Linked DNA regions of Coturnix japonica. The protein of the gene in region 1 purifies or fractionates together with the protein of each later gene. This does not show direct contact. Links are inferred from orthologs where the notes say so. Each region holds a gene or a part of one and is shown on either strand. Other genes may lie near its edges.

Region 1 (3,656 bases):
AGGAGCGTCTGGCAAAGATAAAATTAGGGTCAAATAAAGTGATACTTTATGTCCAGGATGGCTGGGCTGTTCATTTTACCATAGTCACAATTCTGCTTTCACTTCAACAGCTTTTAATGAAGAACAGAACATTCAGTGACACAAACCTGCTCATCATACAGCATCAGACTAACACCAACAAATGGAAGTTCCCTAAAAGGAAGGCAAAATGAACCAATTCCAGTAAAAACTGAACTCAATCCCAGGCAAACGTTAAAATAGAGCTTTTATTGATGGAATAACAAAAGTGCTTTTCTTAAATATTTGTCAAAATACATTTATACAACTTACAATAATATATCCAAAATAACTGTATATACAAAACATTACCTTGTTTTATGTATGTGCTTTTTTTTTTTCCTCTTTTCTGAAAATTACAAATCAACTTTTTGGCAAAGCTCAACCTTAAGAGGTGATCGTTTCGAAGATCAGCGTAAGAAAATAGAACCTGAGGGAAAGTGACACTGAAGTCCGTGGACAGACAAGGAGTTCTCCATTTAGTTAAATAAAAATGTTTTAGTGATATTTTTTCACATTACAAAGTAACAGAAAGGAAGAAAAAAAAAAAAAAGATGACAGATACTTTTCTCATTCTTTTATAGAGCAGCTTCTCATTCTTCCATATACAGAACTTGGGATAAGAGTGCATGTCAAAAATGAATGCAAGTAAGAACAGCAGTGCCCTGCTGTGGCTCTGCTGTGCAGTTCCTTAGCTGCTGTTGATATGGTTGACCTGATTGGATCTGCGATGGATTTCTTCCAGAAAACTCTCCAGCTGTTCTATCAGCATTCGTTTTTTAAACCTGTATTTAAAACAAGGTATTAATGAATGCACATCATACATCAAGTATCGTTAGCAGAGTGTTTACTGAGCTATCATTTTAGGTACACTGAGTGATGGCATTGCATGTACTTCGCTTACTAGAACTTTAGGTAACTACTAACTTGCTTCTCCCATTTAGTAAGAGAATACAAACTGGTGTTACTACAACTCTGGCCCAGTACGAGGTTAAATATCACTCAGCCTTCAGAATGCCAGAAAAACCATTGTTTTCTATTTCCAGAAGTAAAGAAAACATATGAAAGAACTACAGTCCTAAAGGTAGCAGCAGCTTTTATTCTGCATGCCTTCATGGCACAAGCACAGAAGAGAATTTGGTTCTGATGGCAAAATGGCCATCACAGAGCATAGAGCGTGTTTTGAGATAATGAGAAAATATAAATAAGAAGTTTGAGAGGAACTGAAGAAATATAGATGTAAACCATACTTGGAGTCTCTGTACTTCTATTCCCTCCAGACTACAGAAATTTGAGCATGAGAACATTGTCTCCTTCGCTCAAACCGCTGCCTTGCAGCATGCTGTTCCTTGTTGTTTCCAGCTACCACCCCTTGCGACACTTCTGCATTCAAGAAGCAACTTCTGACCAATGCTTTGGCAGCTAACATGTACTCAAAGCAGCAATGAAAAGATCACACACTTGCACTGTTCTGAACTGTACTCTGAGTTTGGTATTATGACCATATTAAACTCTGGCAAAAGCATCTGTTCGCAAGTTCCCAGAAGTTAAATGATTATCTAATTACCTTTTCTTCCTATACCATTGTTCACCTACCTTTATGATGATTTAGCAGTTACAGCTACTAACATTAAGACTCAGTATAAAGCAAAAAAAAACACCAAAACCATCAGGAAGTTTATGTATTTCTAGTGTTTGTTTTCTACAAAATGATTCACACAAAGCATTGTGTGGGAAGTTTAAGACACAGGACTGCATGGATGTCAAGCAATTACAAGGAGCAGTAGATGGTGCAGTTTTATAAGATTAATACAATTCAGTATTGTATTAATCTTATACAATCTTACTTTAAGATCTTAATCTTACCTACCTTGAAGCTTCTTTAATTACATTTTGCAAAAATATCAGTCTGGTTTGTAAGCTTCCTTGTACATGCTTCAGTAAAAAGAAGATTCTTTCGTATTCTTGAAAAAAATAAGAGCAAAAACAGTTAAAGAGACACCCGTTAAAACATTTTGCTTTATGTGAACAAAGGCAAGAGAATTAATTCAGCTTCTGATAAGACAGATCATCTAAAATCCAGGCTTATAATGATAACATACAGTTTTATCAACATTAACATTAAAAACCATAATCAGATGGTCATGTTTAGGATATTACTAGGATACCTATAATTCTAATATCAATAACGATAACCATTACTTTCATGGAAATTGACAGATGCAGCAGTATTAGAATCATTCATCCAGGAAGTTTTTACAAGCTGCTTTAAAACAAATCTATCTAGCTTTCAATTTCATTTCACTCTTCACGGTTTAGTATTTTTCTGAAAAGGCAAAATAATATTAATTCTTTGCCTAGCTCTCATGCCAGTCATTTAATGAAGAGATTTGGAATGCTTACTTCTTCCTGGTTTTCGGATCTCTTTCATGATTTGTGCTCTCAGCTCTATATTAATCTCTCTGGAACTTCTGCAGGGCACTGTTTTTTTCCCTTTGCTGGTTGAAGATATTGGCAAACTGTCTTCAGTATTTTCTTCTTTACTACTTGATTCATCATGATTCTCCAAAAATCCATCAACATTCAAGTTATTCCCTAGATGCTCATGGCCTGCACCCTCTATATGAGCTGCTGATCGATCCAATGAATTGAATGAAGAAGACATTGAAAATTCAGAATCCACAGCATCTGGGAAATCATCTGATGAAAGCGGGTCTGTAACATGATTCTCTACCACATCATCCATTGCAATCTCATTATTAGCTTCTGATGCTAAAAAAAAAAAAAAAACAAAAAAAATACAATAAAACACAGATTACTCATACAAGTTCTGCCTTCTTTATGATCTGATAGAGATCACTGAGACTACGGCAAGCAGCAATACTTCTAGAACTATGCTTCAGCCTGTCTATTATACATGCCCGGCACAAGAAAACGTTTGTGGGTTGTTGTTTCTGGGCTGTAACAAAAAGCACATCGGTTTATTTCCTCTCAGCTAATGGCTTAAAATTACAGCTGTATTCTTCACAGAATCACAGAATTATAGGGGTTGGGAAAGACCTCCAGAGATCGAGTCCAACCCCCCTGCCAAAGCAGGCTCCCTACACCACTTCACACAGGTAGGCGTCTAGGGGGGTCTTGAATATCTCCAGAGAAGGAGACTCCACCACCTCCCTGGGCAGCCTGTTCCAGTGCTCCGTCACCCTCACTGTAAAGAAGTTCTTGCACACACTGCTGAAAAGAGACTGGCCTCACCACTTTGCCCCTCACACCTCAGATATTTATAGACCTGGATCAGGTCCCCTCTCAGTCTTCTCAAGGCTAAACAGACCCAGTTCCCTAAGTCTCTCCTAATAGGGGAGATGCTCCAGGCCCTTCACCATCTTTATGGCCCTCTGCAGGACTCTTTCCAAGAGATCCCTGTCTGTTTTGTACTGGGGAGCCCAGGACTGGACACAATATTCCAGATTAGGGCAGAGTAGAGGGGGAAGATCACCTCCCTCGACCTGCTGGACATGCTCTTTTTAATTCACCCCAGTATGCCATTGGGCTTTTTGGTGTCAGCCAATCCTACCAACTTCGTATCATCAGCAAACTTG
Region 2 (3,454 bases), on another chromosome or scaffold:
ATCCACCTGAAGTGACCTAAGTGAACTAATCAAAAGATTGATTGTTAATCTTCAGCGGTTCTTCTGGCAGGGTATTAAGCATGTAGTTTCCTCTCCTGAATTGTTGTTCATTGGATTTTACATATTCAGAAATACCCTGGTACATGTCTTTTAACATTCACCAGCAGCTTTTCTCACTGAGCTATTAAGAAACTAAAGGGCACTACGAACTGTCTGGTACTTGTCAAAGCCTTCTGCTGTCTCCCATCCACTGATCCAAACTACGTGGTAGGGATCATACACAGAGGTCCTCAGGAAATTTAGATCTCAGCAAACATATGCAGCATAAGACTGTGAAAACCCCAGAGCAACAAAAAAATTAATACCATCTATCTACAATCAGAACCCCACCAAGCAGCCTCCCTCCTAATGCTGGGGGCAATTCAAACAGCTTGTTTCAGAAATCTCAGGCAGACCTTGTCACTCTGTTCTTGCTCCTGTACCCCATACGTTTCAGGACAAGAAGTTTGTTTTCACTGAGGGATAATCAAGACCATCTGTAAGCCCCAACAACTCCAGCAGAGCAGAGCTATTTGTTAGCCTGGGAGCTCAAAAGGTGGTTTCTTCACTCCGACTGGCACTCCCCAGCTGCTCCTTGTGGGACTCCTGCACATCGGCATCTCCTATGGGCACCTTCTAATTTTGTCAGGTCACCCAGAAGAGGGTAGCAGTGAACATGGTGAAAACACAAAAAGTACTGGCTGGGGTGGAGGGATAGTGACGCAACAGCTCTGTGTGCTGGTGGTTGGTTCACAAGGAAGTCTGCAGTGAGGCACTTTCCCTTGCCAATATGACTGAGTCAGCATGACGGTCAAGAAAATCTGTTTCTGTGAATAACAGCTGTGAAAACCCCACAGCTCTCCTTTTGCAGATTGCTGTAATTGAAGCATATTGACTTGGGTGTGTTTTAATCAAATGAGTTTTCATTTGCTGTAGCTCTTAACTGAGGCAATAATCTTCTGCGTAACAGTATGTCTCACAGTGCAAATGCATTTCTGCATGACTGTGCATTTACATTTTCAACAAGCATATCTGAATTGTAGTGCACCTAGTTTCCTGTTACCTCATGTGGAACTTCCTGGAGGCGGTCCAGAGCCCTGATATGATCCAGTGTATCTATGGATGGAGAGAGGCCACCGTGGAGACAGAATATCTGTTGCAGAAAGAAGAGTGATCCATTGAATACATTTTTGCTACGGGAAGACTCATCTCAGAAATAGCTGTTTCTGCATTATTTTGCAATTACAGTGGTCTACACTCACAGGGGAGAAACAAATTTTAACTGTCTCAGATGGAAATGAAACTGGAAGGCTGCACATTACACACTAATACTGAAGCAACAAACATGCTGTGCCTTCAGTATCACAGCGATATGTCAACTTACATGTGAAGTATCACAAGGGGATTCTCACCTGCTGAAGAGCCCTTTAAAATGACCAATACCCTGTTATTCCTTAGGCAGCAAATGCAGAGGCCTTGCTGCACCATCAACCTGTATTGATACTTCACCAAGTTCTTCCCAAAACCCACAGTAAACACAAAAAGCTTGTTTGAGACTGTTCATGTGTGGGTCAGGCGGCACAGACTGCATTATGTTACAAAACAAAGAGTTTTCTTTATTCAAGGCAGGAAAGCTTACCTGGCCATCTACTAGAGCTGTAAGTGGAAGATAATCAAACAGATCTGTGAAATACTTCCAGACGTTGGCGTTGCCGTATTTCCGCAGGCATTCATCATAAAAGCCATACACTTGTGTAATTTGTCTGCTTTCATGATTTCCTCTCAGTATAGTAATGCGTTCTGGGTAGTGCACCTATTGACCAAAAAAAAAAAAAGGGGGGGAGGGGGGGGGGGGGGGGGGAAAAGCAACTTTTCTTTAAGACAAGAACTGTATAAAAGAATGGAGAAATGCTACCTAGAAGCTTCACACAGCAGGCAAGCACTCGGGTCTATTATATAAAAACATGTGTACATTAACACATTCAAACGTACATCCACTGAGCTCAAGCCAACTGTAGTGTCAACAGGGGAACTATTCTTTCATATCCCCTGAAAAGCACAGCTTTGCCCATAGTCGTCATAACAAAGCTGTCCAGCCGTACCTTTAGCGCTACTAGTAGAGTCACCGTTTCCACCGAGTAGTAGCCTCTGTCCACGTAGTCTCCCATGAACAGGTAATTTGTGTCTGGAGACTTCCCACCGATTCTGAAGAGTTCCATAAGGTCGTGGAATTGGCCATGGACATCCCCACAGACGGTGACAGGGCAACGTACCTCCTGCACATTTGACTCTTTTGTAAGAATTTCCTTAGCCTAGCAAGAGAAAAAAACAGAACAAAGATGCAGGACGCTCCTCCACTGGCAGGAGCAGAAGTTACTCCACTGCGTCTGCACTTGAAATTCAGTTTCCCTCTAAGACAGAAGGATGACCACTAGAAAAAGAGCTTGTTGAATAAGCAAAGGCAAAGTGCATTGTACAGACAGTCGTGCAGTAAGACAAGTTTGGTACTGCAAAGCCTGGACGCACAGATTTTATTGTACCATGTATGACAAGAAACAACTTCAAAGAAGTAAATGGACAAGTGAATTCTTAACCTCTCCTGAAATTAAGGAGTGTGAATGTCAAGACTTGCTGTTGCATACGACTTCCATCCCTGATGGGGTTCATCCATGAAGCCTCTGCTTTTTCCAGTCATTTCTGAAGTGCATACAGTGACTGCAAGTGCTGTTCCAGTGTTTCATTAGCATCACATGCAGATCTCATCTCCTTAAGCACAACTGACTTGTTTGTGTGAAGCATACTGGTCCATTCAATTGATAGATTTCTTGGTTCGGAAGAGCTCAGGCTGATTCATCTGACCTATGTAACTACAACAGCACTGGGGTTCCAGTCTGACTGCCAAAGCCAAGAGCCACTCAGCTCCATGGTACCTGGCAGCTTTGCCTCAAGAACCACAACTGTATCGCTGGCCATCTCACATCCTGTCAGCACCATTTCTGTGGGAGGCGTGCAAGAACAGGGTTTGGCAGCCTGTGGTCAGGGCAGCAACACCTGAAGAGACCACGCACAATGTCCAGGCAACTACTATGGTTTTTGAAGAACTTGGTTTGCCAGAGCAAGGGTAAAGCCATGAGGATCCACATGCCTTGCCTCCACTGGCAACATGGCAGCAGGGTCAAATCTCTCTCCTGCCGGCCCTGGCAGCTAATGTTCACCGTCTTCATCCTTTGGCATCCCTCGTGCTTCCTCTCCCCATCGCTGCACACCCAGGAACCACGCGTGCTATCCTAAAACCAGGATTTGACAGGAACAGATTTGTGCCATGGAAACAGCACTGCAAGCAGCGCATTTGCTCTGTATCTACAAAGCCACCTCATCGTCTGAGCAGAGCCGGTGCTAAGCAAGGCTGGTCGTG
Region 3 (2,353 bases), on another chromosome or scaffold:
CATGCTACAGGCAGCGTTTGGCTCCAAGCTTTGTTCTGCCTCCAGCGCCTGCAAGGACATTCCAAAGGAAGCCCTGCAAGAGCTGGGGAGGGAAGAGGGCTGTAGCAAGTCCTGCTCACACTCTCTCAGCAAAGCAAGGAGCCTGTCCCACATCCTGGGTGCTGAGGAAGGGGAGAAGGGGTGACTGTGCAGCTCTTGGAGCCCTCTGGCCACTGCTTTGGTTAAGCACAGAGCCAGCTCAGCCCCTGCATGCTGCAAAGAGCTGCCAGCTGGGGGTTACCAGTGACAGACACTGCCCAGCCCCATGGCACACAGCACATGGGCAGAGTCTGCTCCAAAGGAGTCCTTAAACACAGCTAAGTCTCCCTGGCCCACCCTCCCTCCTGTGATGTGGCTCTTAGCAGCCCAGCCTTGAACATCTGCTTTAAACATAGTCCTGTCCCTGGCAGTTCCAGCACTACCTGCTGCAGGGGTTCTGGCACCCTCAGTAGATCACAGAGCTCAGTAGGTCAAGAGCAGCAATCAGCTGTTACAGAGCAACGCTCCCTCCAAAGCAGGCCTCATTAAGTTAATGTCTGTTGGAGGGAACTAAATGATGTGTTATCTCCTCCTGCAGCCCCAGATGAGCTTTCAGAGATGACTGAACACAGGCGTTAAGGCTTTATTCAGTACACTTAAGGAACAGACATACAAACAGGACAGGGTTGTGTAATTGAGGTACATGCTTCCCAGTCCCAAACACTACGTGACCACAGTCCAAAACTCGGATCAGAGACAAAGCCCACCCCCACCCAGCAAAGACTTTCCTCCTGCTTTACCCTACGTGTCATCATGGCTTTCTCTGGGAAGAGAAGTGCTACTAACGAGCAGATCTGCACCAGGAGAAGCAGAGGGAGATGAGGAGACAATCCCTCAGCCCCGAGTGCAGCCAGGCAGAGGCAGGAACCTTCTGCATCACTCCTGCCTGGACAATCTCCTGCAAAGGGCCACCTCAGTTTATAGTGAGCACATCACTCTGGATCTCATGGCTCAGCTGGGTCTGGAGGTCACTCAGCTTCTTCTTCAGGCCAGACAGTGCAGAGAGAACGATGGTTTCGGGGCGCAAAGAGCCACAAGATTCCACGTTGTAATAAAACCTGAGGTTACAAGTCAGGGAGAAAGTTACCAAGTGTTCTGTGAGGAGGTACAAAACCAGAGAGCACCCACACAGCAGCTCTAACCCACCAGGACCCACTGCAGGGAGATGCTGAGCTCCCCTCTGGGCATGAGCCAGCACTGCCCTGCTACAACAGCAGCCACAGACTCCCATGGAGCTCATAGCAGCCCTCACGACCCTCCAAAATGCAAGAGCCCTTGTGAGGCTTTCTCTGCTCAGCTATGTGATGTGAAAGCTGCACGGGGAAGCTAAGACTGGCTGTCTGGCTGCAGGCACTCCTGCAACACATTATCACCTGGTAGAGAGGGCAGCAGCAGCAATCAGAGCATGAGAGACTCACGTGGGTGAATAATACTGCTGATGACATCAGTGTCTTCAGCATCACCCTAAGCCATCTCTCCAAGACACTTGACCAAATATTGCAGTGCCCTACCTGGTAACAGGAACTCTGAAGAGTCACCCAGAGGGCAAAACCTGCCAGGCCTGGGCACATCACCAGTTAATTGCAACTCCTGCCTTGCTTTCCAGGGAGCAGCAGCTCTCTGCGCTGGTGCAGCACATCCAACTCACACCAACAGCAAACGCAGTGCACCCAGCTCCATCCCCCTCCTCCCAGCAGTGGGAGCACATCCAGCTTCCTACCTCTCGGGCTTCCCATTGGGGTCATATGGAGCCTGAGCATCCTCCTCATCGATCTCTGAGTATTCACTCTTGGGCCTGGAATGAGAGCAGGGAAGGTCAGCACTGGATCAAATCATGGAAAAAAAGTTCACATTAATGTAGCCCTTTCTATTTCCTCCACCTTGAGCAGCCTGAGAAGCCAGCATAGAAAACTCCATGCCCACCACAGTCTCCTGCCAGCCTCCCTCAGACCCAATGAGACCAAGATCATCGTGTCCTGTCACCAGTGGTCCTCAATAAAACTGCATTTTCCAACAAAACCTTCCACCTGCAACAAATATATAGCATTCATGAGCCTTCATGTTACTTGCCACGCTGTCCATTACTGAAAACAGGGCAGAGACTGAACCTTGTTTCACCATGACGTCTGCTTTGAGAGTCCAGCTGCATTCCAGCACTCTGCCAGCAGCCTCAAAACTAAAACCAAAACAATAACTATCCTTGGATAGCAGAGACATCTGTCTCTGTATTGTCTTCACTAGAAGCAAGATGAACTTGGAAAGAAACCCATTATCA

Evidence for each region. The genes of interacting proteins can lie anywhere in the genome.
Region 2: the proteins of INTS6 (region 1) and PPP2CB purify together in Homo sapiens (affinity purification with mass spectrometry; 3 studies listed by BioGRID and IntAct, with this or other methods). This does not show direct contact. The link is inferred for Coturnix japonica from reciprocal best matches to the Homo sapiens genes INTS6 and PPP2CB.
Region 3: the proteins of INTS6 (region 1) and POLR2C purify together in Homo sapiens (affinity purification with mass spectrometry; 3 studies listed by BioGRID and IntAct, with this or other methods). This does not show direct contact. The link is inferred for Coturnix japonica from reciprocal best matches to the Homo sapiens genes INTS6 and POLR2C.

Annotation. Positions count from the first base shown.
Region 1 is NC_029516.1:152,140,578-152,144,233, forward strand, and holds the end of INTS6 (integrator complex subunit 6), read right to left. Parts: intron 2,830-3,656; coding exon 2,461-2,829; intron 2,022-2,460; coding exon 1,928-2,021; intron 843-1,927; coding exon 749-842; 3' UTR 248-748; downstream 1-247. UniProt on the Homo sapiens protein: Component of the integrator complex, a multiprotein complex that terminates RNA polymerase II (Pol II) transcription in the promoter-proximal region of genes.
Region 2 is NC_029519.1:30,561,630-30,565,083, forward strand, and holds part of PPP2CB (serine/threonine-protein phosphatase 2A catalytic subunit beta isoform), read right to left. Parts: exon of another isoform or gene 2,352-3,454; coding exon 2,142-2,351; exon of another isoform or gene 2,136-2,141; intron 1,853-2,135; coding exon 1,679-1,852; exon of another isoform or gene 1,193-1,678; coding exon 1,103-1,192; exon of another isoform or gene 1-1,102.
Region 3 is NC_029526.1:1,904,534-1,906,886, reverse strand, and holds the end of POLR2C (DNA-directed RNA polymerase II subunit RPB3), read right to left. Parts: exon of another isoform or gene 1,874-2,353; coding exon 1,799-1,873; exon of another isoform or gene 1,308-1,798; intron 1,137-1,307; coding exon 992-1,136; 3' UTR 638-991; downstream 1-637. UniProt on the Homo sapiens protein: Core component of RNA polymerase II (Pol II), a DNA-dependent RNA polymerase which synthesizes mRNA precursors and many functional non-coding RNAs using the four ribonucleoside triphosphates as substrates.